Linked DNA regions of Tamandua tetradactyla. The protein of the gene in region 4 interacts with the protein of the main gene of each other region in a biochemical or structural test. Links are inferred from orthologs where the notes say so. Each region holds a gene or a part of one and is shown on either strand. Other genes may lie near its edges. The genes, in order: BRF1, CDK3, RBBP4 and RB1.

Evidence for each region.
Region 1: the proteins of RB1 (region 4) and BRF1 form a complex in vitro, tested with the Homo sapiens proteins (2 studies listed by BioGRID). The link is inferred for Tamandua tetradactyla from reciprocal best matches to the Homo sapiens genes RB1 and BRF1.
Region 2: of the proteins of RB1 (region 4) and CDK3, one has a biochemical effect on the other in vitro, tested with the Homo sapiens proteins (2 studies listed by BioGRID). The link is inferred for Tamandua tetradactyla from reciprocal best matches to the Homo sapiens genes RB1 and CDK3.
Region 3: the proteins of RB1 (region 4) and RBBP4 form a complex in vitro, tested with the Homo sapiens proteins (2 studies listed by BioGRID). The link is inferred for Tamandua tetradactyla from reciprocal best matches to the Homo sapiens genes RB1 and RBBP4.

Annotation. Positions count from the first base shown.
Region 1 is NC_135340.1:87,366,949-87,374,740, forward strand, and holds the start of BRF1 (transcription factor IIIB 90 kDa subunit), read left to right. Parts: upstream 1-4,604; 5' UTR 4,605-4,606; coding exon 4,607-4,790; intron 4,791-7,792.
Region 2 is NC_135332.1:16,404,434-16,412,007, forward strand, and holds the start of CDK3 (cyclin-dependent kinase 3), read left to right. Parts: upstream 1-4,421; 5' UTR 4,422-4,507; intron 4,508-5,179; 5' UTR 5,180-5,189; coding exon 5,190-5,305; intron 5,306-5,667; coding exon 5,668-5,745; intron 5,746-5,841; coding exon 5,842-5,962; intron 5,963-6,055; coding exon 6,056-6,226; intron 6,227-6,303; coding exon 6,304-6,405; intron 6,406-6,678; coding exon 6,679-6,882; intron 6,883-7,574. UniProt on the Homo sapiens protein: Serine/threonine-protein kinase that plays a critical role in the control of the eukaryotic cell cycle; involved in G0-G1 and G1-S cell cycle transitions. Interacts with CCNC/cyclin-C during interphase. Phosphorylates histone H1, ATF1, RB1 and CABLES1.
Region 3 is NC_135328.1:193,217,490-193,225,121, reverse strand, and holds the start of RBBP4 (histone-binding protein RBBP4), read left to right. Parts: upstream 1-4,567; 5' UTR 4,568-4,701; coding exon 4,702-4,717; intron 4,718-5,298; coding exon 5,299-5,446; intron 5,447-7,632. Other genes in the region: ZBTB8OS (protein archease), read right to left, coding at 3,829-3,961. UniProt on the Homo sapiens protein: Core histone-binding subunit that may target chromatin assembly factors, chromatin remodeling factors and histone deacetylases to their histone substrates in a manner that is regulated by nucleosomal DNA.
Region 4 is NC_135330.1:109,981,478-109,989,076, reverse strand, and holds the start of RB1 (retinoblastoma-associated protein), read left to right. Parts: upstream 1-4,328; 5' UTR 4,329-4,515; coding exon 4,516-4,643; intron 4,644-4,908; exon of another isoform or gene 4,909-5,585; intron 5,586-7,372; coding exon 7,373-7,499; intron 7,500-7,599. UniProt on the Homo sapiens protein: Tumor suppressor that is a key regulator of the G1/S transition of the cell cycle. The hypophosphorylated form binds transcription regulators of the E2F family, preventing transcription of E2F-responsive genes.

The DNA.
Region 1 (7,792 bases), on a different chromosome or scaffold from region 4:
AGGCCTCTGCAAAACCAGAGAGAAACCCTGGAGCTCCCCTCCCAACAAGACTGCACAGCAGGGAAAGATAATGTATTAAATAAATAAATCTCTGAGACATTAATGAGGGGAAAAAAGTAAGTTGTGGAAGGTTACGTATATGATCATTTCTGTAAAACCTAAAATCTTGCAAACCAATAGTATACATTGTTTATGGAGACACAGATAGTCATAAAATATTAACAGTTCCATGGCACTGATGACTGTCCAGTACAGCCTGGTGGTTTTCTCTGGTCAGGGAGCAATGGAATCTTGGAAGATGCATACTCTGTGTTCTTTTTGTTTTACTTTTTCCCAGCATACACTCCCTCTTCTCTCCTATGATCCCCCGGTAAATACCAACTTCTATCTCTGTAAATTCGCTATTTCTAGTCATCTCTTATCAGTGGCATCATGCAAGATATTTCCTTTTGTGTCTTGCATATTTCACTGAGCATGAAGTTTTCATAGTCCTTCTATGTTGCTGCAGGCCTCAAAACTTCATTCTTTCTTCTGGCTGAATAGTACTTCATTGTGTATATGTTGCACGCTTTGCTCACCCATTCATTTGTTGATGGACAGTTGGGTTGTTGGGCTTTGTGTCCTTAATGGTCACCAGAGACAGTTTATTTAAATGAGCTGAGCTAAATAGCATATATGTGACAATGCTGAACTTTGATGTATCTCAGTGCTGTTTCCTTGGGTACTTTTCTGTTTTCTCTCTGCTTTTTGGTATGCTTGAAATATTTTCTTAAAGAAGAAAAGCCTTCCAGGACCATGCACCTGATTAAAAAAAAAAAAGAAAAAGAAAAGCCTAATAAGTAAACTCATGGAGTTAAAATCTTTGAAGAAGAAGGAGGAGGAGGAGGCAAGCCACTAGTTCAGACTTTTCCAAGCAGAGACATTCTTCTGGCATTAGCCTCTCGTGTGGCACGCATGCTTTTGCGCCCGTGGAAGCATCATGTGACTGTTTCACTGGTTCCCTCGCCTGCATCGTGCAGCGAAGGTGGCTGGGACTTCAGTACCCGGCCTTGGCCTGCTGGGGGCTTGGAGGCTGCCCCACTAGGAAGGGGTTCAGGTGCCAGCATATATGATGTTAATACTCCCGTAATTTTAGCTGTAGCTTTTAATGTGAGTTGGCGTTTGTTTCTGAAACAGTGTGAGGCAGGAATTCAACTGACACTTTCGCCCTGGAAATGGAAAGCGTGCCTGGGGAGCTGGTTTGCATGTTTACTCGGGTTTGTTTGGACTCTTGGTTTTACTTCACTTGTATATTTGTATGCCCCTCTATAAATATCACCTGTCGTTTTTCTTCATTTTTGTTATTGTCAAATATAACGTATATACAAAGCAAAGAAAGAAAAAAGCAATAGTTTCAAAGCATTCTTCAACAAGTGGTTACAGGACAGATCCCAGAGTTTGTCATGGGCTACCATACAATCCTCTCAAGATTTTTCCTTCAAGCTCCTCCAGAATATAGGAGGCTACAAGGAATAATTTTTTTTTTATCATCACAATAAACTTTTTTTTCTTTTTTGTGAAAAATAACATATATACAAAAAAGCAATAAATTTCAAAGCACAGCACAGCACAGCAATTATGGCCAGATGGCTTCACAGGGGAATTTTTTTTTTTTTTGCTTTTAGTTTATTATTTATTTTGCAGGAATCTTTGACTCTAAATATGTACTGTTTGGCGGTATGATGCATGCTTAGCCTTTTAAAATGTCTTTGTACAATTTCATCTCAAAATAATTTCATTCACAGTGTACACAGAAATCTAAGAGAGACTTAGTATTTACAAGATTCAATATGTTCTTGCTGTTTTAAAGAAACTCATCAATTCCTTACAGTAGGAAAACACGGACACTAAGTATCGTTATAAATAGGAATTCAGAATTGTTCAGTCTCAGAACTGTTCATGGCTTTAGAAATGAAAATTGAGTCATTATTCTATTAGTCTCTGAATGCCCAAGCCATGCAAAATCTATTTGTATTAAATATATGGGGATGCAAATAATACAGGAAAAAATGCAGTCTGGCAAATGTGAAAATGTCATCAGAATTAACTTTTACGATAAGAAAATAATGTTAATTCTTTCAAAAAGATACAGTAGTGGTGCAACATAGTGCCCAATGTATTCTGATTTTTTAAAGAAACATTTAAATTGTCAGTTTTCTTCCTCTACAGGTATATAGACTCACATATTGCAAAGTGGAATCATTTAAGTGGACTCATTTAAGGGGAATTTCATCAAACATTCTAAAATGAACTAATACCAATCAATTAACGTAATACAGCACATTAACAAATCGAAAGGGAAAAATCACACGATCATCTCAATTGATGCTGAAAATGCACTTGACAAAATTCAACATCCTTTTCTGATAAAAACACTTCACAAGATAGGAATCAAAGGTAACTTCCTCAATATGATAAAGAGCATATATTAAAGACAGATAGCCAGCATTGTACTCAATGGAGAGAGACTGAAAGCTTTCCCCTTAAGATCAGGAAGAAGACAAGGATGCCCTCTGTCACCACTATTATTCAATGTTGTACTAGAAGTTCTAGCTAGAGCAGTCAGGCAGGACAAAGAAATACAAGGCATTCAAATTGGAAGGAAGTGTAAAACTTTCATTATTTACGGATGACATGATACTACACTTGGGAAATCTACAACAAAGTGACGAGCTAATAAACAAATTCAGCAAGGTGGCGGGATATAAAATTAATGTGCAAAAATCAATAACGTTTCTATACATAAGCAATGACCTAACTGAGGGGTCAGTTAAGGAAAAATTCCACTCAAAATAGCAACTAAAAAAATCGAGTACTTGGGAATGAACTTAACTAGAGAAATAAAGGACTTGTATATAGAAAACTACAGAACATTGCTAAAAGAAATTTAAAAAGTTCTAAATAGGTGGAAAGACATTCTCTGCTCATGGATAGGAAGATTAAATATAATTAAGACTTGGAAAAGCTAGTTACCAAATTCATCTGGATGGGAAAAAGCTAAAAGTACCCTAAAAAGGAAGAACAAAGTGGGAGGATTAATACTAAGTGACTTTAAAACTTATTATAAAGTCACAGTGGTCAGAACTGCATGGTACTGGCACAAAGATTGAAGTATTGATCAATGGAATTGAATCGAGAGTGCAGAAATAGACAATCAAATCAATGGTCAACTGATTTTTGACAAGGCCCCCCAATCCACTGAACTGGGACAAAACAGTCTTTTCCATAGATGGGAGTGGAAGAACTGGTTATCAATAGCCAAAAGAATAAAAGAGGACCCTTACCTTATACCTATACAAAAATTAACTCAAAGTGGATCAAACATCTGAATATAAGAACTAGCACCATAAAGCTTCTAGAAGAAAATGTAGGGAAACATCTTCAAAACCTCCTAATAGGAGGTAGCTTCCTACATTTTACACACAAAGCACAAGCAACAAAAGAAAAAATAGGTAAATGGGAACTCCTCAAAATCAGATGCTTCTGCATCTCAAAAGACTGTCAAAAAGGTGAAGAGGCAGCCAACTCAATGGGAGAAAACATTTGGAAATCACGTCTGACAAAGGTTTGATATCCTGTATACATAAAGAAATCTTACAACTCTACAACAAAAGAAAAACCCAATTATAAAATGGACTAAAGATATGTATAGGCATTTTTCGGAAGAGCAAATACAGATGGCTCAAAAGCACAGGAAGAAATGCTTATTTTCATTAGCTATAAGGAAAATGCAGATCAAGACTATAATGAGATACCATCTCACACCTATAATAATGGCTGCTATGCAGGAAACAAGAAACTACAAATGTTGGTGAGGATGTGGAGAAATTGGGACACTTTCGTAGTACTAGTGGGAATGTGTAATCGATCAGCCACTATAGAAGACGGTTTGGCGGTTCCTTAGGAAACTAAATACCACCTGGTTTTAAGTGCCATAGTTTGATAGGATTTTCTGAAATGCAGAAGGACGTCTCCCTTAATTGAGTTTCTTCTTTTAGAGCTTGATTATTCTTGCAGATAATCTCTTTCAGAGGCATTTAGGAGCCATCCTTCACCATTCTTTGTAAAAGTCTGTTGCTGTTTGGAGAATGGGATTTCCACTTCCAATTCTGCTCCCCAGGCCCCGCCCCCCAGGCTCTTTCCCTAAGGCCCACCCCCGTCAGCCCCGCCCAGCCGACTCCGCTCCAGGCCCTGCCCAAGCACTGGGTGCGTGTCCTATCAGGCGCGTCCCGATAGGCCCCGCCCCACCGACCTCGCCCCCCGCAGGCCCCGCCCCTCCAGCTGTCAGGCCGGTCCGGGCCAACCGCCTCCCTCGGCTCGATATCCTGCAGGCCAGTTGCGGCTCTGCTGGTCGGTGGCCCCGAGGCCCTGCGGCCGCGCCCGGGTGTGCAGGACGCCGACACTCGCCTCGCGCCCGAGCTCCGGCTTGGCTTGCGTCGCGCGGCTCCGGCCGTTTGCTGGCTCCTGGCGGCGCGGCGAATCTGCCGCTGCGAATCGGCGCTTGCGGCGCGGGCCTCGCGAGAGCGGGGGCGCGGGGCTGGCGGGTGGCGCTCGGGTCCCCGCCGGCATGGCGGGCCGCGTGTGCCGCGGCTGCGGCGGCACGGACATCGAGTTGGATGCGGCGCGCGGCGACGCCGTGTGCACCAGCTGCGGCTCCGTGCTCGAGGACAACATCATCGTGTCTGAGGTGCAGTTCGTGGAGAACAGCGGCGGCGGCTCCTCGGCCGTGGGCCAGTTCGTGTCGCTGGACGGTGGGTTCCGGGCGCGGCGCCCCGCGACGCCCCTTGCCCCGCGGGCGGGCGCCAGTAGGTGCAATCCCAAGCTCTGGGTCTGGCGCTCACGGCGCAGGCCGTACAGGTGTCGGGCACCGGCGGACTCCAGGGCAGGTTTGGCGGGAGGAAGAGCGCGCGGCGCCGCGCGGGGAGGCCCCGCAGGGTCGGGGCGGCCTGCTACGTCGAGGGAGGGCTGGCGGTCAGCCTGAGGCGCCGCGGCGGCTGTGGTGGCGACCCTCCCTCCGCAAGAGGCCGAGAACGGCGACGGCCGGGTCTCTGGGAGAAACTGAGGCAGACGCCGAGGCTGCTGGGTCGTACGCGGTTGCTTCTCGGAAGGGGGAGTGGAGGGGGCGCTGGGTGCGGGGGTGCGGGGCTGCCGGGCTGTCACGAGCTTTATAGAACTGGTTGGCTCTTTAAACTGTGCTTGTATAACTTTGATTTTTTAAATTGAATTTACAAGAAGAGGAGAAAGCAAGAGGACTCTGGCTGTGGTCTGGACACAGTGGACACCCCCCACCCCACCCCAAACTAACAACAGTAAAATTGCATGTATTTTACAGTACAGTTCTATGAATTTAATGCCGTCAGAGATTCAGATAACCGCAATGAGTTTAAAGAAAAGTTCCATCAGTTGGAAAATCTAACTTGTGAGATCCTTTTATTGTTTCAGATTCCTCCACTCCTAGCCCAAGCAACTACTGATCTGTTCTCCAGCCATATAGTTTTATCTTTTCAGGAAAGTCAAGGAAGTGGAACCAGACAGTATGTAACCTTTTGGAGTTGGCTACTTTCAGCCAGCCTAATGGCTTTAAATTCATCCAGGTTGTTGCATGTATCAACCGTTCCATCTTTTATATTGCTGAGCAGTGTCCTATGTGGTTTTGTTAGGGTTTTCTAGGGAAGCAGAACGGACAGATAAATAGATATATATTATGTAAACATGAGATCTATTCTAGTTGCTCTAAGGTAAGTCCGAATTCCCTAGGGCAGGCAGCAAGCTGAGAACTCCAAAGGTTTCCAATGAATTCCCCAGGAGGAGGTTGCTGATTGAAGTAGAGATGCAGTCTCTGTTCTTAGTGCTGAAATCATCACTTCTTTTAAAGCCTCAAACTGATTGAATGGATGTCTCTCATTGTTGAAGGCGCGCTCCTCAGTTGACTGTGGATATATCAGCTATAGAGAGTTAAGTTCATGAAATGTCCTCACAGTAGCGGTCAGGCCAGTGCTTGCTTGACCAGATGATTAGACTCCATCACTTGGCCAAGGTAACACGTGAACCTAACCCTAACACCTTGGAACAGATGGTCTGCTGTTCGGCTAGCAACCTACCCAAGGAGATTTGGGATTGTTGCTGGTTTTAGGTGATTATGAGCAGAGCTGTCCTAAATGACTGTGTATAGCTTTCCAGGTTAGCGTAAGTTTCATTTCTCGAGAGTGGCTACCCAGGAGTGGGCTGCTGGGTAATATGGCAGGACCCATACCTGTCATACATTTAGCCCCCCACCCCTGCCAACCTGTACTCTAATTCCTGCCTTTATTTATGTACAGAGCTTGCACATTCTTTGATATTTTCTTGGAAATTACCTTAAGGCTAAATTTAACTTCCTAGATCTGTAACATTCTTGTTTGCTTTGATTACAGCTTAACTTCAGTGTTACACACAAACTGTTTCTGTACTCCTCTGGTTCTCCCCCGTATATGGAGTTCTTGCTATAAATTACATGTCTTTACATTATGAGTCTCAAACCACTGATTTCTCATTACATTTGTGCATTTGTCTTTCTCATCCTGTAGGAAGTGAAAAGTGGAAGCCAAGAATACAGTTGTACTGGCATTTATATTTTACTCTTTTCACTACCCTCACAGATCTTTATTTCTTCACGCAGCTTTGATCTGTTGTCTGTTGTCCTTTCCTTTCAACCTACCGAATTCCCTTTAGCATCTCTCCTAGGCTGATCTAGTGGTGGCGAACTCCCTCAGCTTTTGTTTATCAGGAAATAACTTAATCTTTCCCACATTTTTAAAAAAATATGTTTTTATTGAGTTATCTTCATACATATAGTCCATCCAAAGTATACATCAGTGGCTCACAGTGCCATCACGTAGTTGTGCATTCATCACCATGATCATTTTTAGAACATGTGCATCACTCCAGAAAAAAGCAGTAAAAGGAAAAAACTCATAACATCCCATATCCCTTACCCTTCCCTTTCATTGACCATTAGTATTTGAATCTACCCAATATTTTTGACCCCTTATCCTCCTCTGTTATTTATTTATTTTTGCTTTTACTTATCTGTTTATACCCTGGCTAAAAGCATCAGACAGAAGGTTTTCACAATCACATGTTTATATTGTAAAATCTATATAGTTATACAATCATCTTCAAGAATCAAGGCTACTGGAATACAGTGTAACCGTTTTAGGGACATCCTTCTAGCCCCTCCTATAATACCATAAGCTAAAAAGGGATATCCATATAATGCATAAGAATAACTTCCAGGATAACCTCTTGAATGTGTTTGAAATTTCTCAGCCACTGAAACTTTATTTTGTCTCATTTATCTCTTTGCCCTTTTGGTCAAGCAAGCCTTCTCAATCCCATGATGCTAGGTCCCGGCTCCCACATTTTTTTTTTTTTTTTATTAATTAAAAAAAGAAATTAACAACAAACAAAACATTAAGATATCATTCCATTCTACATATACAATCAGTAATTCTTAATATCATCACATAGTTGCATATTCATCATCTCTTAGAACATTTGCATCGATTTAGAAAAAGAAATAAAACGATAACAGAGAAAAAAAAGATTATACATACCATACCCCTTACCCCTCACTTTCCTTTACCACTAGCATTTCAAACTAAATTTATTTTACCATTTGTTCCCCCTATTATTTACTTTTATTCCATATGTTCTACTCTTCTGTTGATAAAGTAGATATAAGGAGCATCAGACACATGGTTTTCACATTCAC
Region 2 (7,574 bases), on a different chromosome or scaffold from region 4:
ATGCTGTATTTGCCATGTGCCCTTCCAGCTGAGAGAGGAGCCCTGACCGTGTTCACCATGTGCCTTTCCAGATGAGAGAGAAACCCTGAACTTCATTGGCCTTCTTGAACCAAGGTATCTTTCCCTGGGTGCCTTTGATTGGACATATCTATAGACTTGTTTTAATTGTTTTAATTCTCGGCCTTAGAACTGTAAACTAGCAACTCATTAAATTCCCCTTGTTAAAAGCCATTCCGTTTCTGGTATATTACATTCCAGCAGCTAGCAAACTAGAACAGTCCCCTTGCCCTGGATTCCCGTATTTTCTTGTGACACCCAAGGGCTTGAGAACTTGATGCTCTGGATGGAGGCATGGGGTGTAGGCTTCCCTCACCTCTCCATCAGACCTCCTTGCTGTATACTTGGAGGTCACCGGCCACAGCAAGTGGCCGTCCATAAATCCCACCACCCTTTGGTTTTCTTCCATCGAACCTCATCTCCCCATTCCACCCTCTGTCTGCCTTTCCTCAAGCCTCTTTCTTATGCTCTCACCTTCTTCGGGATTTGACTGAAACCTGGCTTTTCCCCAGGATGGCAGTTTCCCCACTACCACCTTCCTCAGGCAGTCCTGCTCAGGCCACCAAACCCAGAGGGAGTGCCTGGATCCCTGTGGCTCCTGTGGTTTGTCACCGCACACCTTTCCCATCCCCGGTGGAAGCCAGTTCTACCAGCAGGCACCTTTGCCTCACTTTGCCTCTCGCACTGGGGCCTCACCTAGGACCTTGTCTTCCCTAGAACTACCCCACCTTTGCCACCCGATGCTACAGCATTCCTGTATTTTCTTGTGACACCCAAGGGCTTGAGAACTTAATGTTCTGGATGGAGGCGTGGGGCGTAGGCTTCCCTCACCTCTTGGTACCTTCCTGTCCCTGCACGTCCTCCTGCTGCCTCCTTTTCAGCCGCACCAGGCCTCTGGATTCCTGGACTTTTCTCCCAACTTCTCTCTCCCCTTCAGTTCCTCCCCTTTCTGGCAGAAAGTGCAACCTCTTGCCCTCCTTCCATCACACTGATTAGCTCCCAACCTCCCCACTTCTCTGATCCTGCCCCGGATTATTGAGTGAAGAAGGACCACAGAACTCGGTGAATTTGCAGCACAATGATTTCAGTGTCTCTCATTTCTTGGGAACCCTCCACATTGCCTGGAAGTCCCTCCAGGCATCTTAGTCAAGCCCCTCTCCCATGCTACCCACCCCTCCGCCATCAGATAGGACCTCTTACTACCTAGCTTCCCCCATCCCTTTCGGCAGATGACCCACCTACTTCCTATGTAAAATGGAGGCTCCAGGAGCAGTCCCTCCTCCTAAGATCATATGCCCCTCACTCATCATTAGCCTCCCCCCACCCCACCCCACCAAACGCCCATCCATTCCTTCGGACCCCCAGACTGCCCTCCTGCAGGGGCTGTGTTCTCTCTTGTTTTTTATCACAGAAGTTATAGGTTTACAGAAAAATCATGTATGAAATATAGAGTTCCCATATTCCACCCTCAACTGTACACTTAACTTGTCTGCACTGGTTCTTTTCTTTCAGCATATAATGTGCTTGAGCCTCCTCTGACTTAAAATGATAATCACCTTTCACTCTGCACCCTTCCCTAACTAGGCTCCTCCTTCCCTTCACAGTCAAACTTGTTCTCCATTATCTCCCTTTCCTTATCTCTCACTCATCCCTCACTCAGCAGTCCTGGGCTGGCCTTTGTAACCTATGATCCTTTCTCAGCTCTGGCTTCTTTATCTTTGCAAGAAGAAATTCTCCCAAATGACCAGTTCCCATTCACTTTTCCTAGCTGTCATGTTCAAAAACTTTCCCCTTTCCCTGCAGCCCTTCTTCAAACACAGTTCTTTTTATTCCATTTACAGGGGCCTTCCGCAGATGGACCAGCAGTATTGTGATTTGTCCTTTGCAATAATCATATTTCAAAAAGCTCATTTCCATATTTAATAGCTTTTTCCATTCACAGGGAGAAGCAACATGTTCTACAATAAAAATCTAGTGGTAAGGGTTTCCCCAGGCTGAGAAGAAAGGCATCATGTAAGGAAACTTCTGTGAAATTGAGCCAGACAGTTAAGAAAGTCTTTATATCGGAAGTTTGCAAATTTGATGTTTCCCCCCCATTTTTGAGTTTTCAGCAGCTCCAGTTGGGGTTTAGAGCTCCTTGATTTTGTCCTTGCTCTCCCTGTGCTGCCCTGAACATCTGTGACTACTCTGAGTACTTAGGTGGCAAGATAAGGTTTAGGTCTATCAGGACCAGCTGAAGATTTGGCAGACGTCCTGCTTTATTGGTTTCCTAAAGGGGGCTGAGCACTAAGAATCCACCGTCTGCACTGATCAGTGGCTGCAGAAGGTTGTCACGCTCATCCTCTCTGGGTCGTCACTGCAGCCTGGTGCTAATAACAGAAGCTTGGTGACACCCAAGCTACTTCGTGGTTCAGACAAGTTCCATCTTCCAAGAGGAGCCCTGTATTAAGGCTTAACAGTCTGATGTTTAGAATCTGCACCCAGGCTACATTAAATTGATAAGATGGCCTAGACGAAAAAGACTAGGTTTAGACTTTATCGCATCAGAAAGCCTCTATCACAAAGCTACATCAGAATAGACAGGGTAATGTCCTAGGACATCGAGTGTACTTCTTGACGTGCTGAGAGAATAGAGAAAGCATGAATGAAAGAAAAAGTATTCGAGGGTGAATCCAGATGTCTTTTGTGTTAGATTCAGTTGTCAACTTGGCCAGGTGAGCATACCTAATCTTGTTGCTGCAGACATAAGCCAACGGTACATGAACCTCATCTGTTGCCAATTACATCTGCAGTCGGCTAGGAGGCGTGTCTGCTGCAATGAGTGACGTTTGACTTAATTGGCTGGTGCTTAAATGAGAGAACGCAATGTAGCATAGCCTAAACAGCTCGGCGTTCCTCATCTCAGCACTTGCAGCTCAGCCCAGGCCTTGGAGATGCAGAAAGAAGTCACCCCAGGGAAAGTTGTTGGAACCCAGGGGTCTGGAGAGAAGACCAGCAGAGACCATCTTGTGCCTTCCACGTAAGAAAGAACCTCAGTGGAAAGTTAGCTGCCTTTCCTCTGAAGAACCAACAAAATAAATCCCCTTTTATTAAAAGCCAATCTGTCTCTGGTGTGTTGCATTCCGGCAGCTAGCAAACTAGAACATCTTTCCTGTCTGATGTCACCTGAATGTTGACATATTCCATCAGGTCACCACTGCATCTTCTAGAAGACCTACTGGCATTGGAAATTAAACTTGGAAGTGAGCTCTAGAAATCTGATTATTGCAAGGGACCAATTGGACACTGCTGTCAATCTGTCTGTGAAAGGCCTGTGTAAATGGAATGACTTCCAGCCTGCCCTGGAAGAGGGGCTAGATAGGGCTTCTTGAGGTGATTTACCCCTGTGAGGCCAAACTCTCCTGGAGCTCAGCCCCTTGGATATATTAAAATATGGGTTTTCTTTTGCCCTAATTTCCAATGCCAGAGGGTCCCAGGGTGTGAAGGGGGCCCTAACCTCAGTACAAATGGAGACCTAGGATAGTGACTGAGACCCCTCCTCGACCAGGGGCACATCCCCTCCTCGACCAGGGGCACATGGGGCCTATGGAAAAGGTGGCTGAGATGAAGGTGACAAAGGATGTAGAAAGCTGGGCTCAAGCCTAGGAATCCCTTCCCAGGTTAAATGGGATTTTCAGGCCACCCACTAAGTTTCAGACATGTGCCTGTTAGTGTGTGGCAGGTCACAGTTCTGACAAGTTGCTAACTTCTATATACCGTCCTTCTTGCCTCCACCCCTCGCTGTCAAAACTCAGGACTAAGTAAATGGAGGGAAGACGGCTAGAATGCTCCTGGAGCACGTGTCACTGGCACTCTGGGCCATCACTGCTAGTGCCTCGACGGTTGTGTCTTTCAGATGGAGGTTCCGTGGTGAAGGCCCGGCTGCTGACTTGTGTGGAAGGGATCAATCTACCCTTGTTGGAACAAGCCATCCAGGAACAGAGGCTGTACCGACAAGAAAGGGACAGCTCCCAATAGGAAATGGCAGTTCCCAGCCATGCACCTCCTCACACACTCACCGGATCCTGGGCCAAACCAACAGGAGATAACCTTGCGGTGGATGGAGACGCTCTCCCTGGAGTGACAGCCCTTGCTGGGACCAGAGAGTAGAGGGGAGGGCTTGTTCTTCTGGCCCCTTTCCATAATTATTGTCCCGGAAATGGGATCCTGGAGAGCAGGCCCCGAAGTCTGCCCGCTCCGCCCCACCCCCCCAAGGCTGCTGGAGGCCGAGCTCTGGGGCACTGGGGGCCCCAGGCCATCATGGAAAACTCCAGAAGGTCCTCGTGAATAAAGGCGCCAGAGGGCGTGAGCAGGGCTTGTGTGCACGTGGTGATGCTTCGGCAGCGGCCAGGAGGGGGCGCCGTGGGGCCGGAGTCTGTCAGCAGTGAGGCTGCTGCGTGCGCAGTTTCTGGTGACGTCTGGGCTGGCGAGGGTGGCACTGAGAGGAGGGTGCTGGGGCGCAGGGGCCCGGGTGGGGGGCCCGGGATGCTGGGGGGCCGCCCCCAACAAGCTTCTGCCCTAAGAAAAGACCAAGCATCACCAAACGGGCCGGGTCTACCCCCTCAGCGGACTGTGTGGCCTAGGGCTAGTCTGTGGCTCCAGCCACCCTTCCAAGCCCTGACCTCTGACCCGAGCCATCCCCAGCCCCTGGGCAGCCTTTCCGAGCTGCCTTCCCACCCCGGGGCCCGGGCCGGGGGGCGGGGGGGGGGCAGGGGCTTGGGCCTGGGCATGAGAAGTTTGGGCCCTCCTGTACTCCGTAGCAGGGCGCAGTGCAGCAGCGTCCGGTTCCCCCTGGGGACTGGGCAAGAGCACAGGGGGTTCCTGCCTGGGCTGGGCAAGGGGCAGCCCCCAGCCCCGAGCCAGGTGCCCAGGGATGGGCTGGGGACACCAGGGGCGGGGAGCTGGGCCTGGACGGCCGCCACCGGGACCGCAGAGCGGGGCAAGCCCTGTGGGCCGCAGGCCCGGGGAGTTGGGCAAGCCCGGGGGGGGGTGCTCAGCAGGGGTGCCATGAGGAGGCTGGAGGGGGGAGCCGGGGCTGGGCGTGGGGGGCGAACGCCCCGGGCGCCATCTGTTTCCCGGGCAGCTCTGTGGCCATGGATGTGTTCCAGAAGGTCGAGAAGATCGGAGAAGGCACTTACGGGGTGGTGTATAAGGCCAAGAACAAGGAGACCGGGCAGCTCGTGGCCCTCAAAAAGATCAGGCTGGATTTGTGAGTGCTGGCACGGCCCCCGAGAAACACCCAGCCCAGGGCCACTCAGCCCTGTCCATTCCCTCATCTCAGAATGCTGCGCTCAGTTCCTTCTGTGAGTGCTGCCTAGTTCTATTCAGGCAGCCACGGAGATGCAACCCTAACGTGTCCTCACCCCAACCCACTGCCTCCTCCCTCCCTCTGGCCCAGCTTTGCCCCTGGGCCCAGCTCCCTGAGGCTCAGATGGGTTGTAAGTAGGTGCCGAGGCACACAGGCTCCCATTCGCTGGGGGTGGGCCATCCTTACAGGAATAAGGAACACAGAAGTGCTCCCTCAGCTCCTGCCTCTAGGCCTGCTCACAGCTGTGCCCTCCTTCCCTGCAGGGAGACTGAGGGAGTCCCCAGCACCGCCATCAGGGAGATTTCCCTGCTCAAAGAACTTAACCATCCCAATATCGTCAGGTAAGTGGGCAGAGGAGGCAGGGAACTGGAACAGTGAATGCCAAGCCTACCTGAATCCAGCTAGGAGCTGCTGCATCGCTGGCGTCTCCTTGCCAGGCTGCTGGATGTGGTGCATAGCGAGAAGAAGCTTTACCTGGTGTTTGAGTTCCTCAGCCAGGACCTGAAGAAGTACATGGACTCTAGCCCTGCATCTGAGCTCCCCCTGCACTTAGTCAAGGTACCAAGGCAGGGCTGGGGAAGATGAGGTATCAACCCACTGAGCCAGCCCCCAGCCTCTTCAGCTGGCTCCTTCCCGTGCTTGCTGTTCCAGAACTACCTCTTCCAGCTGCTGCAGGGGGTGAATTTCTGCCACTCTCATCGGGTCATCCACCGAGACCTGAAGCCCCAGAATCTGCTCATCAATGAGCTGGGAGCCATCAAGCTGGCTGACTTTGGTCTGGCCCGCGCCTTTGGGGTGCCCCTGCGCACCTATACCCACGAGGTACTGCTGGGTCAGGGGGAGAGAAGGGCAGCTGGAGGAATGGCACCCAGGAACGGCTCTGTTTTCTTGTCCCTCAGGTGGTGACACTGTGGTATCGTGCCCCCGAGATTCTCCTGGGCAGCAAGTTCTATTCGACAGCTGTGGATGTCTGGAGCATTGGCTGCATCTTTGCAGAGATGGTAAAGAGGGACAATGCATTGCCGCGGGTGTGTGTGGGGGGGAGGCGCGTGCAGGCAGGTGCGCCTGCTGGGAGCCGGGGCTCGCTGCTTTTCCTATTAGAGGTGGGTTGAGGGGTGTTTGAGACTGGCTAACAGACTGAGGAAGGGGCTTCATCCCAGGAAAAGCCCTGGGAAAGATATCTTGAGGGTCACTCCCTTCGTTCTGGCTGCTCGTTGGTAGCAGAGTCTCTTCGACCAGCAGGGGCTCTACTCTTTCTCCTTGGCCCCGTCCAGGTAACCCGCAGAGCACTGTTTCCAGGCGACTCTGAGATTGACCAGCTCTTTCGTATTTTTCGGACCCTGGGGACACCCAGTGAAGCCACGTGGCCAGGAGTCACCCAGCTGCCTGACTATAAGGGCAGCTTCCCCAAGTGGACCAGGAAGGGGCTGGAGGAGGTTGTGCCCACTCTGGAGCCAGAGGGCAAGGACCTGCTTATGGTAGGTGCCAGGGTAGCCCTGGCTGCTGCCCCAGCCGGGAGGACCCCCTCGGCCAGCTGACCTCTTACATAACCCGCACCTGCTGTGGCTTCACACTAATCTCTTCTCTGACCCTTTATATAACTGGCTTGTCCCTGTCCTTGTGCGTATTGATTCTTAATCTGGAAGCCACGCTGCATGATAAGTTCAAAGTTCATCTGCCCTTATAAAGCTCCTCTTTTCCAGTTAGCTTTTTTTTTTTCCAGTTAGTTTTGTTTTTATACCCTGAGACTTGCCCTTTACTCCTTGTATTTTTACTTCTTTCCCCTTGTGGCCGTTATTACCCCATCCAAGCGGCAAGCTTTCCTGGTATTCCCTGTAGTACCGTCAATGCTGGGCAGTCTTCACATGAGGCTGTTCACAACAGGCTGTTCCCTGTTGCCTGCGTGCCTGCCACATTCCTCATCCCCCCACCCTGCAGTCCCTTTTATAACCACTTGGACTGGTCCCAGGTCAAACTGGTCAAAGCCAGCAGTTCTTGCCCACATAGGCTTGGAGGACTTAGTTCTCTCTTTAATTTGATGTTGGGTCTAGGGAAAGCCATGCAGTCTTTCTGTCTCCGGGCTGTGAGTCCAGCTTCCCGTGGATGTCTATTGACCCTATGTCAGCAGGACAGCATGGGCTTCCGGCCAAGGCTATTAGCACCCCGTCCG
Region 3 (7,632 bases), on a different chromosome or scaffold from region 4:
TGGATCTTATCCAAGCCTGACTATGTAATATCAAGCACTAGTTACTTGGAAAATATTAGTTCGCTGAGTTACACAGATAATATTGCCACTTTTCATTAAACAAAATTTAAAAAAACATATTTTGCTAATATTATCACCAATCTCATCAGAAAGTCTTTTAAGTACTGGGAAGCCAACAAGCTCAGGATAGCAGACATGAGTTTTCCAAAATCCTAATTTTCATTTGAGTGCTTGAATTTCATCACTGGCAACAAATACGTCAGTTGTTTTTTTTTTTGAGGACAGATCACATTATCTATTTTCAAGAAAATCTCAGCCAAACACTCGTGGCAGCCAATTCAGCTTACAACTTTATTACATAAGTTTTTTTTCTCAAGGTAACCATCTTACTTCACATATGGGAGAAACATTTTGTAATACTTTTGCTTTCATTAAAAAGATTATTTTAAAAATGTATACTGAAGGGTCAGGATTTAATAAAATTAGTAATTCTTACTGATTCATCAAAGACATTCATAAGTGAAAATGACTTTTTTTTTTAATGGCAAGTATGTGGTGGTAAAGAATACAATGACTACGACTACTTTTGGTCTTGCTGCCTCAGATTGTGCTAAAGTGCCAGAAGTTTAACCTAATACTGTTTTCCCACCACCAATGTATCAAATATCAAAGCAGTGACAAAAACAATTAGCAACTTAGTATTATTGTGAAAATAGTTTTGACATCATTTCTAGGGCCCACAAACCATACTTTGAGAGTTGTTACTACTATAGGAGAAAAAGAGATAAACCTAACCTAGATTAAGGGGTTCAGGTAAGAATTCCTGAAGGAAACAAGATTAAACACTGTAAGTGCCAAGAAACTGAGGACTATCTATATTTGCTTTGCTCTTTTTTTCCTAATTTCTGTTCAGTAACACACTGAATGATAGGTGCTCAGTAATACAGGCTGAATGATAGGTATTCAGTAATATGCGCTGAATGAATACATGAGATCAACTAATCTGAGTCTTAAAGGACAACAGGGCTACAAGGAAACTTTGGAGGTAGATTTAGGGGTGGTCAATAGCAAAAAAAGGAAGCTGCAAGAAAATACAGACTAATCTCACATTACATCAGTGTAAAAATTCTATTAAAAATGTTCACAATAGAATCTAATAGCACATTAAAGTAATAATACACCACAACTAAGTGGGATTTAGTATTCCTGGATTGCAAAGAGGATTCAATTTTAGGAAATCTGTTCATATAATTCAGGTAAATATATGGTCATCTCTATAGATATAATCATGAAACATAATATAAAAATATTAACGGGATTTTTGTGAGACTAAAAAGGTTTTTTTGCACAATTTTAAACTACTACATTTTAAACTTTATTTTTTCTCTCATTCCTAATTGCTGTTTTTACTGAATGTTTTATAATGCATTGGTTATGACCATATAGTAGAATATACATAATTCAGGATGTGCAATGAAAAAAGTTTGGAGACAATTGTCCCAGAGAATCAACTGAAAATTATACTAACCATAAGAGAATTCATAAAGTGCCATTATAAAAATTAATTATAGAACTCAAGAGCTTTCACATATATTATCAACAACCACAGAGATAATATAATGGAAGAAAAGTCATTTACATTAGCAATAAAAAAAATGAAATGCTATGAGGTTATACAGAATAAGATTTGAACAAATGGAAAGACATACCTTATTGCTGGAGAAAAAGACTCAAAGTAAAAGCTTTAATTCTCCCTAAGTTTATTATTAACAAAAAATAATACCCGTAGAAATTTTTTTTTCAAACTCAACAAGCTGATTTTTATCTATATATAAACAAGAAAGAATGGCAAGAAAGGGGCAAGTACTGGGGGAGAAACTGTCCTACAAGATATTAAAAGATAGCATAAATTCCCAATAATTAAACCATGGGCACAAAAAGAGAGAGGATAAAGGATTAGAACGGTAAGTTCTGCAACACAACCAACTACATGTAAGGGAATTCCGTATGTGATAAAGATGTGGCATTTCAATCGCAGGGTAACCAACTGTTGAATAAATGATGTTAGAATATCTGGTGAGTCATCTGGAAAATAATTAAATTGGATACTCACTTTCCACCTTACCTCAATTCTGATCAATTTATGATTTAAATGTTTCTTTAAAAAGCAGTAAGTATTAGAAATAAGAACAATCTATAACAATATAGAAAAATATGAATCTCACAAATACAATGTTGAGCAAAAAAAAAAAATGTACATACTGTGAGTCCATTCACACAAAGCACAATAACAGGCAAAACAAATCTATGGTGTTGGAAGCCAGGCTCATGACAGGTGAGAGTGGTAGTGACTGGAAGGGAGCATGAGGCTTCTGGGATGCTGATAATATTTTGTTAATCAGGTCACTAGTTATACAAGCATATTCAGTTTGTGAAAATTCATTTATGCACATTTTTCTATATGCATACTGTACTTCAATAAAAGTTTTATTTTCACATGTACTAGGAGAAAACATGAGAGAATTATAACCTCTGACTAGGTAAGGTCTCCTACATTGACACCCCAGACGCCATAAAAAGAAAAGATTAATAATTTTACCTACATAAAAATAAATTTCTAAATATAAAAGAGCATCAATGCAATACAAAAATGGGTTAAGAATATGAACATACACTTCCGAGAAGGGAACCACAAATAGTCCCAAACATACTGAAAGATGCTTAACCTCACTTATAATCAGAAAAATGTAGATAGTATGACAAGATACATAACAAATTTTAAAAACCCAAAAAGTATGATAACACCGAAAAGTGGCAAAAGTGTGGGAAAAGAAATACATTCATACATTGCTAGTGAGAGTGTTAACTGTTATAACACCTCTATGGAGAACAGTTTGGCAATAACTATTACAGTTAAAAATACACAGATCCTTTGACAAAGCAACTTGCAGGAAGTTTTTCTACAGATACACTTGTGTATATGCAAAACACGGATGTCCAAATATATTCACTGCTGCACTGCTGGTAACAGAAGAGCAGAAACATCCTGTATACTGAAAACTGGTTTTAAATAAAGTAAATGCTGCGACATCTTTGCACATACACATGAGAAAATGGTAATAATGGTTATTCTAGGCTTATTTTTCACTGCATACCTGTTGAATTCTATATATAACTATTAAAATATGATAAAAGACTTATCCAGAGGACAATGGGAAATCAAGGCAAGATTTTAATCAGGGAAATAAAATGTGCTCCCCAAACTACATTTTCCTCAGAGATGGTAACAGCGTTTGTAGAGGATGTGCACTATGATGGAACTGAGATGCAAAGACAAGCTATGTGATCTGCCTGAAATCTAAGCAAATGAATGATAAAAAAACACGTCTTTTTATTAGCATCACGACCCATATAAAACACCAAATGAGAAGTTCCTGATTTGGCTTTCTCAATTCCTAACATGATAACACTTTATCCTCGTGTTGGAGATACATGCCCACTGTTGGAGATAACTGACATCGACAACCTCGAAACACTAGAAAATACGGTTATCTTTAGAAATAATACACTAGTAAAATCCACAAGATACACATGATTAGTATCTATACATGAAAGTTCAACAGACTAAATGTGCGAGCCCAATTTTCTCGAATCTCAGACTAGGTGGCTCTTTTCTTTAGCGTCACTCCGACAGGTACAAAAGAGACTACAATACACAGAGGAATCAGGTCATGTCTGAAGTACTTTTGGCGAGGGGTGAAAGGCAAGGCCGGAAGCCAGGGGATGCCAGTGAGCCCCTATCTAGAGAGAGGAGAGTCACCTACTTACACTCGTACTTCCGATTGACTGGAGGATACTTGGCCTTGATTGCCTTCTGATCCTCAGTCAAATTGTAGTCTCTCACATCTTCCTCCGGCTCCGCCATGAGTGGAACATTGCGTAGTCTACTTCCGCCCTTCATCCGTCAGACTTCAGCCCTACATTACAACTTCCGCTCTAGAGTTCGTCGCCTGGCACGCACCTTTAAAGGACCAGGACTCCATTTTCGTAGCGTGCGGATGTAGTTTAGCCGCTAAGCCTTCCGTCTTAGGCCCAGCCGCTTGGAATACACTTTTAAATGATCAAGTCCTCATTTCCTGCACTTGATTCATCAGTCCTTTTTTAGGATTAAAGAAACAAACAACTTGAAGGTTCTGGAAATAGGAGGCACCTGAATTAGACACTACCTAAGTCAGAGTGACAGGAGCCGTCCTGCCTCCCCCAAAGGTATCCAGGGTTTCTCAATTGAGTACTTAGAAGGGGTCGCAAGCTTAATTGGCTTGAAGGAAATGGCTGCGCCCAGGGGAGTACAATGCTAAATCTCTGTCACGTGACCCTAGGCGAGGCCAGCCCCACCAACCCCTCCGAGCGCGCAATCGAAGGAAGTCAGCGAGAGCCGAATAGGGGAAGGGGCGGAGCGCGCGCCTCGGCCTCGCGTAAAGCGACTCTGCGCGTCTGGATAGGCTCTGAATGTGGCTCCCCGCCCACTCCACTGTTCGGAACGCCCCGATTGGCCGATGTTGGCGCGAAGGTGCGCAAGTAGGGCCTCACGCAGGGGCAGCAGGAAACAATAGAGGCCGAGCGCGCTGAGCAAGCGCCTCCAGCCTCCCCGCCCCTCCCGCGACGCTCAACTCCGCGAACCCCCTCGCTTGCCTGTCCGCCATGGCCGACAAGGAAGGTGAGGGTGCCAGGGCCGCCCTAGGAGAGCCGAGGGGAGTCATGTCTGTGCCGCGGCCTCGACACGGCCTAACAGCGAGGGCAGGCCCAGTTTTGCAGAATGCGGTTCCCACCGTCGAAAGCGTGAGGAAAACTCCCCACTGAGCGGGCTAACGGCGCGCCAGTAGGAGGGGGTTGCCCGTCGGAGCCGGCTGAAGCTGGCGGTGCTTAGTCCCTCCTCGAGCAGCCCGGCAGCCTCTCTGCGCACCCTATCGGTGTATTCTCTCCCGGGCCTCATTCCGCGGCTCCCTATCCCCAAGGGTCGGTGTTCGGGCCTCCTCGCTGGTACTGTAGATTACGGCGTAGGAGAGCGTGCGAGAGCCAGGGAGCCGTCACACCCAGTGGATAACGGGGTGTTTGGCTGGGGTGAACCCAGGGTAGTTTTCGGCCCCCATCCCGCCAAGGTGTAAAGGAGTGTTAGTGCCACTGCCTAGAGGGGCTTTGGGCAACCCTTTTCCTCCCCCCATTTCAGAATCGACTCAAGTAGCAGTGTGTTCGATTTCCGTTTGTGTTTGCTAACTTCATTTATTTTTAATGCTTTAGCAGCCTTCGATGACGCAGTGGAAGAACGTGTGATCAATGAGGAGTACAAAATATGGAAAAAGAACACTCCTTTTCTTTATGATTTGGTCATGACCCATGCTCTGGAGTGGCCCAGCCTCACTGCACAGTGGCTTCCAGATGTAACCAGGTGATACGAATCTCTTAAACTTTCTTTTGGCGGACCCTCATGAAGTTTTTCACATTGATTTTTTTCCGTATTGTTTTCCCTATTTTCTTCTCTCCGGGTCACTTGATATTTTTTTTTTCTTACGTCAAAGAACTTGGCAAAATGTGAAAATGTTTTGTGACTTACCCAAGAGAAAACTTGATGGCATTGTCTGCCTCTGATACTGAATTGAGTCGCTACATTACAACTATAGATTTATGTACATGTGTGTATTATGTGTATAGCCATGTTAAAGCTATAGTTGTCCAAATGTAAAACTTGTCAGCCTTCAAAAAGGAGTATGTGTCCAGTTCTTTCTGCAGAACTTGCTTGAACTCTTTAACAGTCCCAGTCTCGCAGTAGTAACTGTTGAATATAAAAAATGAGTATGGCATGGTACCTGCCTTCAAGAAGCACACAGACTACTCAAAGAGGCAGACGTAAACTAATAATTATTAGTTATTAGAAAGTTAGAGCAGTTACAATTAAAGGAGGTGAGAGCAGAAAACAACGTGAAGGTGGAATGGTTTTCATGTGAATGGAGTTGGGCATAGTGAGGGTAATAGAGATTAATCATGTTTTCCTGGAAGTGAGTAGCTTAAATCTGCAATAGAGGAGATTAAATATTTAACTTAATGTACATTTATTAAGGATTTAGTAGCTATCGGATATCAGGGGATACCAGATATCAATTTCCCTGCATTGATTTCCTGCATATAAACAGTAAAAATAACTAAAATTACCATAAGAGTAGTAGTGCTGATGAAATGATGAGAAAGGAAAATTTACCTCAACCCAAGAGTATGAAAAAAAGTTTCAGGAAGAAATAGCATCTAAATTCATTCAAACTCTGGTTTAGTAAGTCAAGATTATTGCAAAATATTGTGAGACTGTGATTCAGCTCAGCAGGCATTAAGAATGAAGCTATTTCTTTCATAGTGGCTTGAAGAACAAATGAGGAAATCTGTCCTAAGGATGTTTTCTAAAACCATAATAAATACTTAGAAATTTAACCATGTTTGGCTTATCATCAGAATTACTTAGTGAGTTCAGGATAAATGGATTTGTTTCTGTCAGAAATTCTTAGTGATAGTTGAAACTATTTAGATTCTTGTGGCAGAGTTCCTAAGTGAATGATGATTCCGTATTTACTCATGTGCTAAATTATGTCTATTAGACCAGTGGGTCCCAAATATTAGCCATCCCAGACCTTCTAAATCATCTGGAACACGTTTTTTTGTTTAATAATATGTATCTTTTTTTATTTTTAAATTTAAAAAAATATATAACAATAAACAAACATGAACATTCTTAACATATGACCATTCCGTTCTACGTATATAATCAGTAATTCGCAATATCACAGTTGCGTATTCATCATCATAATCATTTCTTAGAACATTTGCATCAATTCAGAAAAAGAAATAAAAAGACAACAGAAAAAAGTTCATACATACCATATCCCTTACCCCTCCATTTTATTGATCACTAGTATTTCAATCTACTAAATTTATTTTAACATTTATTTTTGTTCCATATGTTTCACTTATCTGTTGATAAGGTAGATAAAAGGAGCATCAGACACAGGGTTTTCACAATCACACAGTCGCATTGTACAAGCTATATCGTTATACAATCATCTTCAACAAACATGGCTACTGGAACACAGCTCTACATTTTCAGGCAGTTTCCTTCAGCTTCTCCATTACATCTTGACTAATAAGGTGATATCTATTTAATGCGTAAGAATAACCTCCAGTATAACTTCTCGACTCTGTTTGAAATCTCTCAGCCATTGACACTTTATTTTGTCTCACTTTGCTCTTCCCCCTGTTGGTCGAGAAGGTTTTCTAAATCCAGCTCATTCTAGGATTTCTGTCCCATGTTGCCAGGAAGGTCCACACCCCTGAAAGTCATGTCCCACATAGACAGGGGGAGGGCGGTGAGTTTGCTTGTTGTGTTGGCTGGAGAGAAGACGCCACATCTGAGCAACAAAAGATGGAACCCATGTTTTAAAACTTCCCAGGTAATGTAGTGATTAACCAGATATAGAAAGCACTGAACTAGACTATATTCCCCAAGGCTGAAATCCTGTGCACTGTCATCTTAGTTTTCTACTTTTGCAGATCTAGGTAAGTCTTTCTGCATTGTCTGACATTGCTCCAGAC
Region 4 (7,599 bases):
AGGAGAACTGGGGAAGGAGTTTATGAAGTAACAGAAGGTGGGAAAAGAACAAGAAGACAAGGGACTTTTGGAAGACAAGGGAATTTTTAAGAAAGAAGAGGTGGTTGACTGTTAAACATAAGAAGGTTCAAACAAGTTAAGAACCAAAAAAGAAGCCATTGGGAAAACAGACAGTTCTTCAGAAAAATTAAAACTAGAATTACAAGATCCAATGCTCCAATTTATAGGTATATAGTAAAAAGAATTGAAAACGTGGACTCAGATACATGTACATCGATGTTCTTAGACACATCATTCAAAATAGCTAAAAGGCAGAATGACCCACGTTCATCAATAGATGAATGGATAGACAAAATGTAGCATTTCCATACAATGGAATATTATTTATCCATAAAAAGGAATGAAGGGTTGATACATGCTACAACATGGATGAATGTTGAAAACATCATGCTAAGTTATGTCAGGCACACAAAAAAACAACTATTCTATGATTCCACTTACATGAAATATTTAGAATTGAAAAAAAAATCAGAGACAGAAAGAAGATTAGAGGTTACCAGGGCAGTGGGAATTGGGAGTTATTGCTTAAAGAGCACAGAGTTTCTCTTTGGGGTGATGAAACGGTTTTGATAATGGATGGTGATGATCATAGCACAACCTGAATATAATTTGTGCTATTGAATTATATGCGTGAAAGCGGTGAAATGGGAATTTTTATGTGGTATAGATGTTAACACAATAAAATTTAAACATTAAAAAAATAAAAAGATATAAGCAAAAAAAAAAAAAAAGCCATTGAGTGATCTCTTAGGACATTGGTGGCCCCTGAAAGAGTGATTTCAGTGGAGAGCTGGTGGTGGCAGTGGGAGAAAGCCAGATTATAGTGAGCTGAGGAATGAGAAAACAGAGAGAACAAATGGGGACTACCCTTTCAAGAAGCTAAAGAAATGGAAATACCCTGATAGCTTGGGGATGCAAAAAAATCTGAAGAAATTTTAGATTACAGGAGACTCAAAAAAAACAAAAAGTATTCTGGTATCATGGAAGAGGCATCATGGAAGAGGTATCATGGAAGAGGCATCTGTAGTTCTCTCTACAGATGGCAAGTCTATGAATGATTGTTTTTTGGTCTGGCGACACTATTCTTAAAGTTACTCTGGAGGTGAGGGAAGATCAGAGAAAACATATTTTAAGAAACTAAGAACATCTAACACTTATTCGGTAATGCAACAAAAAACTGCGGGGGAGATGTGATGATTTTGATTTACTTAATTGCTCCTGCATTGTGTGTAAGGAAAATACACTTAAAAAGTACAAGAGAACACAGTGAAAGGAATCCGTGGTAAAGATACACATCTTTTTGTAAATCGAGAAATGTCTCTTTATCCTAATTGTGGTAAATTCAGATGTTGATAAACTGGGTTTAAATAAAGCAAGTTATATAAAGAGAGCTTACTTCAGTTTCCAGAACATTCCTCACCTCTCCTACCCTCTCTACTGCCCAACACTGAGTTAGGGACTAGGGCTCCAAAGATGCCCAAGATTTGGACTCCATCCTGAAGGGGATCATAGGAGAAGTATTGTCAGTCATGATACTTTCTGCAAATTACGGAAATTTCCAGCTCAGTCTATGGCGGCTCCAGGGTTGGTCAAATCAGAGGTTCACTTATGCCACCAAGGCTCCAGATTCTTTTGATAATCCTACTGCACCATCCTCAGCATTTCTGCCTTATTCTCTGGTCTGCTTGCCTCAGGTCACAGTGGCTGCTGCAGTTTCCAGTGTCATATCCTCATGACAAGAGTTAAGAGGTAGAGGAAGAAATGTCATCCCTGTATTTCATTTAATCAGCCTCCCAACAAACTATCCTTCATCATCCAAAGGCCAAAAACTACATCCTGAGCTTCTATGGTGGCTTGAAGCTGTATTACCCAGAAAAACATGTTCTTAAATTTAATCCATTGTAAATAGGACTTTCTGATAAGTTGAGTTCAGTTAAGGTGTAGCCCATCTCAATCAGGATGGGTCTTAATTCTAATATAGAGGCCTTTATAAGTGGAGTGGAATTCAGACACACACAGAGAAAGCCAGAAAGAAAGCAGCCAGAGGCTGAAATCAAGGGAACTCAGAAGAGAGAGAAGAGACCAGGAGATGCTGCCATGTCTTGCCATGGTGACAAACTAAGGTCCAAAGATTGCCAGCAGCCAGCCCCAGACCACCAGTTTTCAGGGGAAAAGCATCACCTTGATGTCTTGATTTGAACTTTCTTTTAGCTTCAAACCTATGAGTTAGTAAATTTCCATTGTTTAATGAGAACCATTTCATAGTATTTGCTTGGGCAGCCTAGGAAACTAAAACAGCTCCTGTCTAAACCAATCCCAGCCAAGGTGAATGGGGTTTACCATTGTAATAAGATTCACTCTCTAGGGCTGTGGCTGGGCCTGGATCCTTTCTCCTGATAAGCTCTGGCCTCCTAAGACAGGTTTCTAAAGTTAGGTGGGACTGGCTGTTGGGTAGGCCAATACTTGCTAATCTTTTTCACATTCTGCCGTATATAATGATGTGTTAGGGCTCTCTAGGGAAACTGAACCAATAGGAGATATCTGTGCATATGAAATTTTATAAAAGTGTTTCATGCAACTATGGGAATGCAAGAGTCCAAATTCTGTAGGGCAGGCTGTGGGCTGGCAACAACAATGAAGGGGTTCAATGAATTCCAAAGGAGAAGCTGGCTGGCTGGGTGATGTAGAGATAAAAATTCTCTCCTCTGACTGCTGAAATCATCACCTCTCCCTTAGGTCTTCAACTGATTGGCTTCTCTCATTATGGAAGACACTCCCCTTAGTTGATAGTAGAAATAACCAGGTATAGATGCAATTAACTGATTGATGATTTAATAAACCTGCCTCAGGTTTATTAACCAGCCACAAAATGTCCTTACAGTAAGTAACAGTTAGGCCAGTGCTTGCCTGACCAGACAGGGCACCATCACTTGGCCAAGTTGACACATGAACCTAACCATCACACATGATATACATAGAAAATGATAATCCTTGGTATGGCACACTGGATAAATGTATGAAGCTTTCTGCCAGGAACTATCTGAAAATGTAGGCTGCTTCAGATACTGTTCAGCTGTTCCAAGGATGAGGGGATTTACAGTGGAGCACAATTGAACATCATTCACAGCACCTCCAATGGGTAGTTTTGAGCTAGGCAATCAACAGCATCTGCAAGATTGAGAAAAACATGTACTTCAACTAGAAAACGCATTGTTATAAATAAACACCAAGAAACACAAACCATGCAGTTTTCAAGCCAATGTTTGGGAGCCGTAGCCACAACAAACTTTCTGAGGTCTTGATGCCTTTGCACACATCATTTCTTTCTTCTTGGTGTTTTCTTCATTAGCATCACCTAATGGATAAGTGGGTGAATATACTTGGGTTCAAATCTTTCGCCATCCATCAGCTATGTGCCACCTGGCACATTAATGAGCTCCTCTGAGCCTGGTTTCCCATCTGGAAAGTGGAGTAATACTACTACTGATTTTGAAGGGTTGCCTCTGAGGATTAAATAAGATTATCATGGAAAGTGGCTAGCAACGTTACTGGCACACAGCAAGCCCTCATTAAAAAGAAGGTTTATCTATAGAGAGAGAAAGTGAAAGCGAGAAACATACAGTAGTGTGTTCGGCAAATTTTATTCAACTGCCATTTCCCTCTGAAGATCTCGCAGATATGTGGATAGACCCTCCTATTTTTATGCCACTATTAAGACATTTATCACACTATCCTGTTTACTTGTTCTTTACCCACAGACCCTCTGCCTACACTATCCAGGGATTTCCCCCAAAGCCTCTAACTGTCCTACATTTCATATCCTCTAGTGATTAGTGTTCTGTAAGTATCTGTGGAACAGAACAGGAGTTCTTCTTTTGACCCACCCTGCTAACAGACTGGGCAGGCGGGACCTGGTTCCGAGGCCAAAGGGTGCAGAAGCCTGATAACACCGCGCACTCGCGCGTGGACGCCGATCCGGCTCGCAGATAAGAGTTGGGGGCCCAATCTCACCCCCCAGGCTTTCTTCAACGCCCTACTCCGGGCATCCCCAGCCTGGAAAGGGCAGGTAAGGGCAAGAACCAGGGTGCCGCGGCGGCGACCGCCCCTGGGCAGCGCCTCCACAGGCCGGGACTCGCGGCCCACCCCACCAGCGTTCGCGCCCCGCCCCGCTCGCGCTCGCCCCCGCCCGACGCTGGGCGCCCGGGGCCCCGCGAGACGCCGACGGGCCCGAGCGACTCGCGGACGTGACGCCGCGGGCGGAAGTGACGTTTTCCCGCGGTTGGACGCGGGGTTCGGGTGCCGGGCGGGGGAGCGCTCGGCCGGCGTTTCTCGGGGGACGCCCAAATCATTTTGCCACGAGAGCCGAGCGCGGACGGGGCGTACCCCGACGTGTGCGCGCGGCCCCCTGCCCTGCCGTCCTCCACTGCTCGCTGGCTCCCGCCCCAGGAGGGCGTCATGCCTCCCAAAACCCCCCGAAGAGCGGCTGTCGCCGCCGCCGCTGTGGAACCCCCGGCGCCGCTGCCGCCCCCTCCTGAGGAGGTCCCCGAGCAGGACAGCGGCCCCGAGGAGCTGCCTGTGGCCCGGTGAGCGAGCCGAGTCGCCGCCGCCGCCAGCACCCGGGCAGGCGCCGCGGCGTCCTCGCGGGGAGCCCCCGTCCCGCGGGAGAAGGCTAGCTCTCCGCGCCCCTGTGGCCACCGCGGAGTGTCGGAAAGACGCGGCCAGGGGAGCGGGTTCGGGGGGCGCGGGCGGAGTCGCCAGGAAGAGTGTCGGCTCCAGGTTGACAGGTGTCCGGTGGGTGGGGCTCGGGTCCCTGAGCGAACTGACAGGTGCCGGCTTCCCTTCTGCAGGGCGGGGAGATGGCGGGGTTTTGGGAGCCCCTCACGGGCGGGACGACGACCCGGCGGCGTCAGCGGGAAAGGAAGCGGTTTTTCCTCCCCTTGAAAGACGCTGCACCCGGGCGGTAGTTGGACTTTCTGTTTTGGCCCCTGCGATGCTGGTTCCAAGCATTTTCCTCCGGGTGTGCATTGCATTCTAGGAGAGGCGGCAAAAGCCGCGGACGCTGCCGAGACGTTTTTGGACGAGGTTCTTGTTTGGGGTTCGGAGGCGTCAGTAGAGACTGGCAGCGCGGAACTCTTTAGAGGTGGCAAAATCTTTCTGAGCCATTGAGCGCAAGTGCTGAAAAGTTTCTGAACTTTTTCTTTTTTCTCTTTCGGGATAAAATTCTTTTTGAACGTTAGTCTGCTTCCACATACCTCGTTCTGTCTTCCATTTTGCCTTTTTTTTTTTTTTTTTGCCATTTCGGAAACAAGGCTCCGGGCGGCGTCTGCTTCTTTTGGTTGTTTTTGTTTGTTTTTGCTTGCTTTTTTTGTTTATTTTTTGGGACAAAACTGGTGATGTGCTGTGTGCACATGGAACTCTCCCACCCGGAATTAGTAGGGTCTAAATCCAAGGAAGTCTATATATATATATGAAGGAGATATTTATTTGTATTGCAGCATCCTATTTTTCTTGATTGTGTTACATTGGTAAGTAGTTAAATTTGAATAGTATGTACTTGTCCTTATTCCTTTCTATCAGCGCTGGTCCTGCTTTGAGACTGCAGATTCATTGCAGAAGGATCGGACTCCTTTCTCTCTCTCACCACTCCCTCCTCCATTCTTGTCCATCACCAGGTCCCGTGTTACCCACGCTTAATTGTAGGTTTCTTTCCATTCTCTTGCTACCAACACAGTCATGCCAAACTGTGAAAGATTGAGAACGGCTTTTGGAAATGGCCTGTTGAAGATGATAAAAAATTCTTTTATTGAATAGCCTTGATAATGCTTATCTAAGACAGTGACCCACTGTCTTATGGGTCAAGTAAAAAATCATACCCTCCAGGAAAAAAGAACAGGTCTTGGGGGATGTTCTGAGAGATAAATTACCAGTTTCTAATTAACTCTGATGTGTACAATACTTGAAAATTTCCTTTTGGGAAGAACAGTAAATAGCTTCTCTAAAGAATTATCATAGGGTAACCAGAAATATTTGAAGTTTGCGTTATCACCTGAGAAAAGAAGGACTATTTCTTTCATTTCCCCCCTCCCCCCTCCTTTTTTAACACATTTTTTATTTATCTTCAAGTAATGGAAGCACAAAATTCTCCTGTCAAACCCTTTTATTTCAAAACGATACGTGATATATCTGCTCTTATCCATTTTCATGGGTAATCAAAAGCTGTACATTAACTACTTAGCAAGATTATGACCACTGCCAGGCAGTCCGAGGCTGAGAAACTTGATTTGGGATGAATTCAGGGCCCAGTTCCACCTGCATTTCCAATAACAAACGTCCATTTCTGCCTTGAGAAAGAGTTGAGTTCATGTTTCTGTTGCATCATCTCTGGCTTAAGTGATGTGGTTGGAAGGGAATCTGTCTCTAGGAACAGCACGCCACCTTCATTGTTGAGATAACTAAAAGTTAATTATGTTTTGAAGGAAGACTTGGCGGTGTAGAATAGTGGTCTGCAACATGGATTGTGGAGTTAGACTGCTAGGTTCATAATCCTCCCTTACTGGCAGAAACCTTAGGTGAGTGTTTTAACTTCTCTGATTTGGCTTACTCATCTGTAAGACAAGGGTAATAAGAGTAAGAGTACTTACTTAATATGGCTGACGTGGGAATTCAGTGAAACCAGAATGTAAGGTGTTTTGTGCAGGGTTGTAGTAAATACTCAAAAATTATTAGCTATTCCACTTGCAAATATGATTATTAAAAACTAAAATAAAATAAAAATATGTTTATTAAGTTAATGAAAAGGAGTTAGCCTTGATAATGCTTATCTTGGTTAAGGAAGATCAAGGAATAAGGGTTGAAAAAAGTGTATTATTAATCACAAGTAAGAAATGCTACAAGATAGAGGTATGTGAAACATTGATAAGTATGGGCCTTATGTTAATGAAGGCATTGGCATCGAATTGATTCTGTAATGTCATCTGTAGGCTTATCTCTTCTTGCTTTTGTCATTACCTTATTTTCCCAAATAACTTTAGCTATTATCCTTACTTTCCTTCACAAACCTATTTTACTGCTCTGAAGTATAATAGGTTCACTGTGTCAGCACACATTTTTCGTTGTTTGGAAAGACAATGAAAGATAAATATGTTTAAATTTAAAGCATAATTTTTTCAAAGATGAAATTAATATCTTAAAGTACTTAGTAATGCTGTCTTTCAGGATAGTGCTATTATGTGCAAACCTTTGAAACAAATGTTTACTATATCATTTTGACTTATAAGTGTTTGCCTATTATATATACTTTTTCATTTGGTAGGCTTGAGTTTGAAGAAACTGAAGAACCTGATTTTGTTGCTTTGTGTCAGAAATTAAAGATACCAGATCATGTCAGAGAAAGAGCTTGGTTAACTTGGGAGAAAATGGCATCTGTGGATGGAGTATTGGTAAGGATTTTCTTAAAATTCTTTGAAATATTTTTTCTCATTTTAAAAATAATTTTGGGGGTGATGCAACGGTGGCTCGGTGGCAGAATTCTCGCCTGCA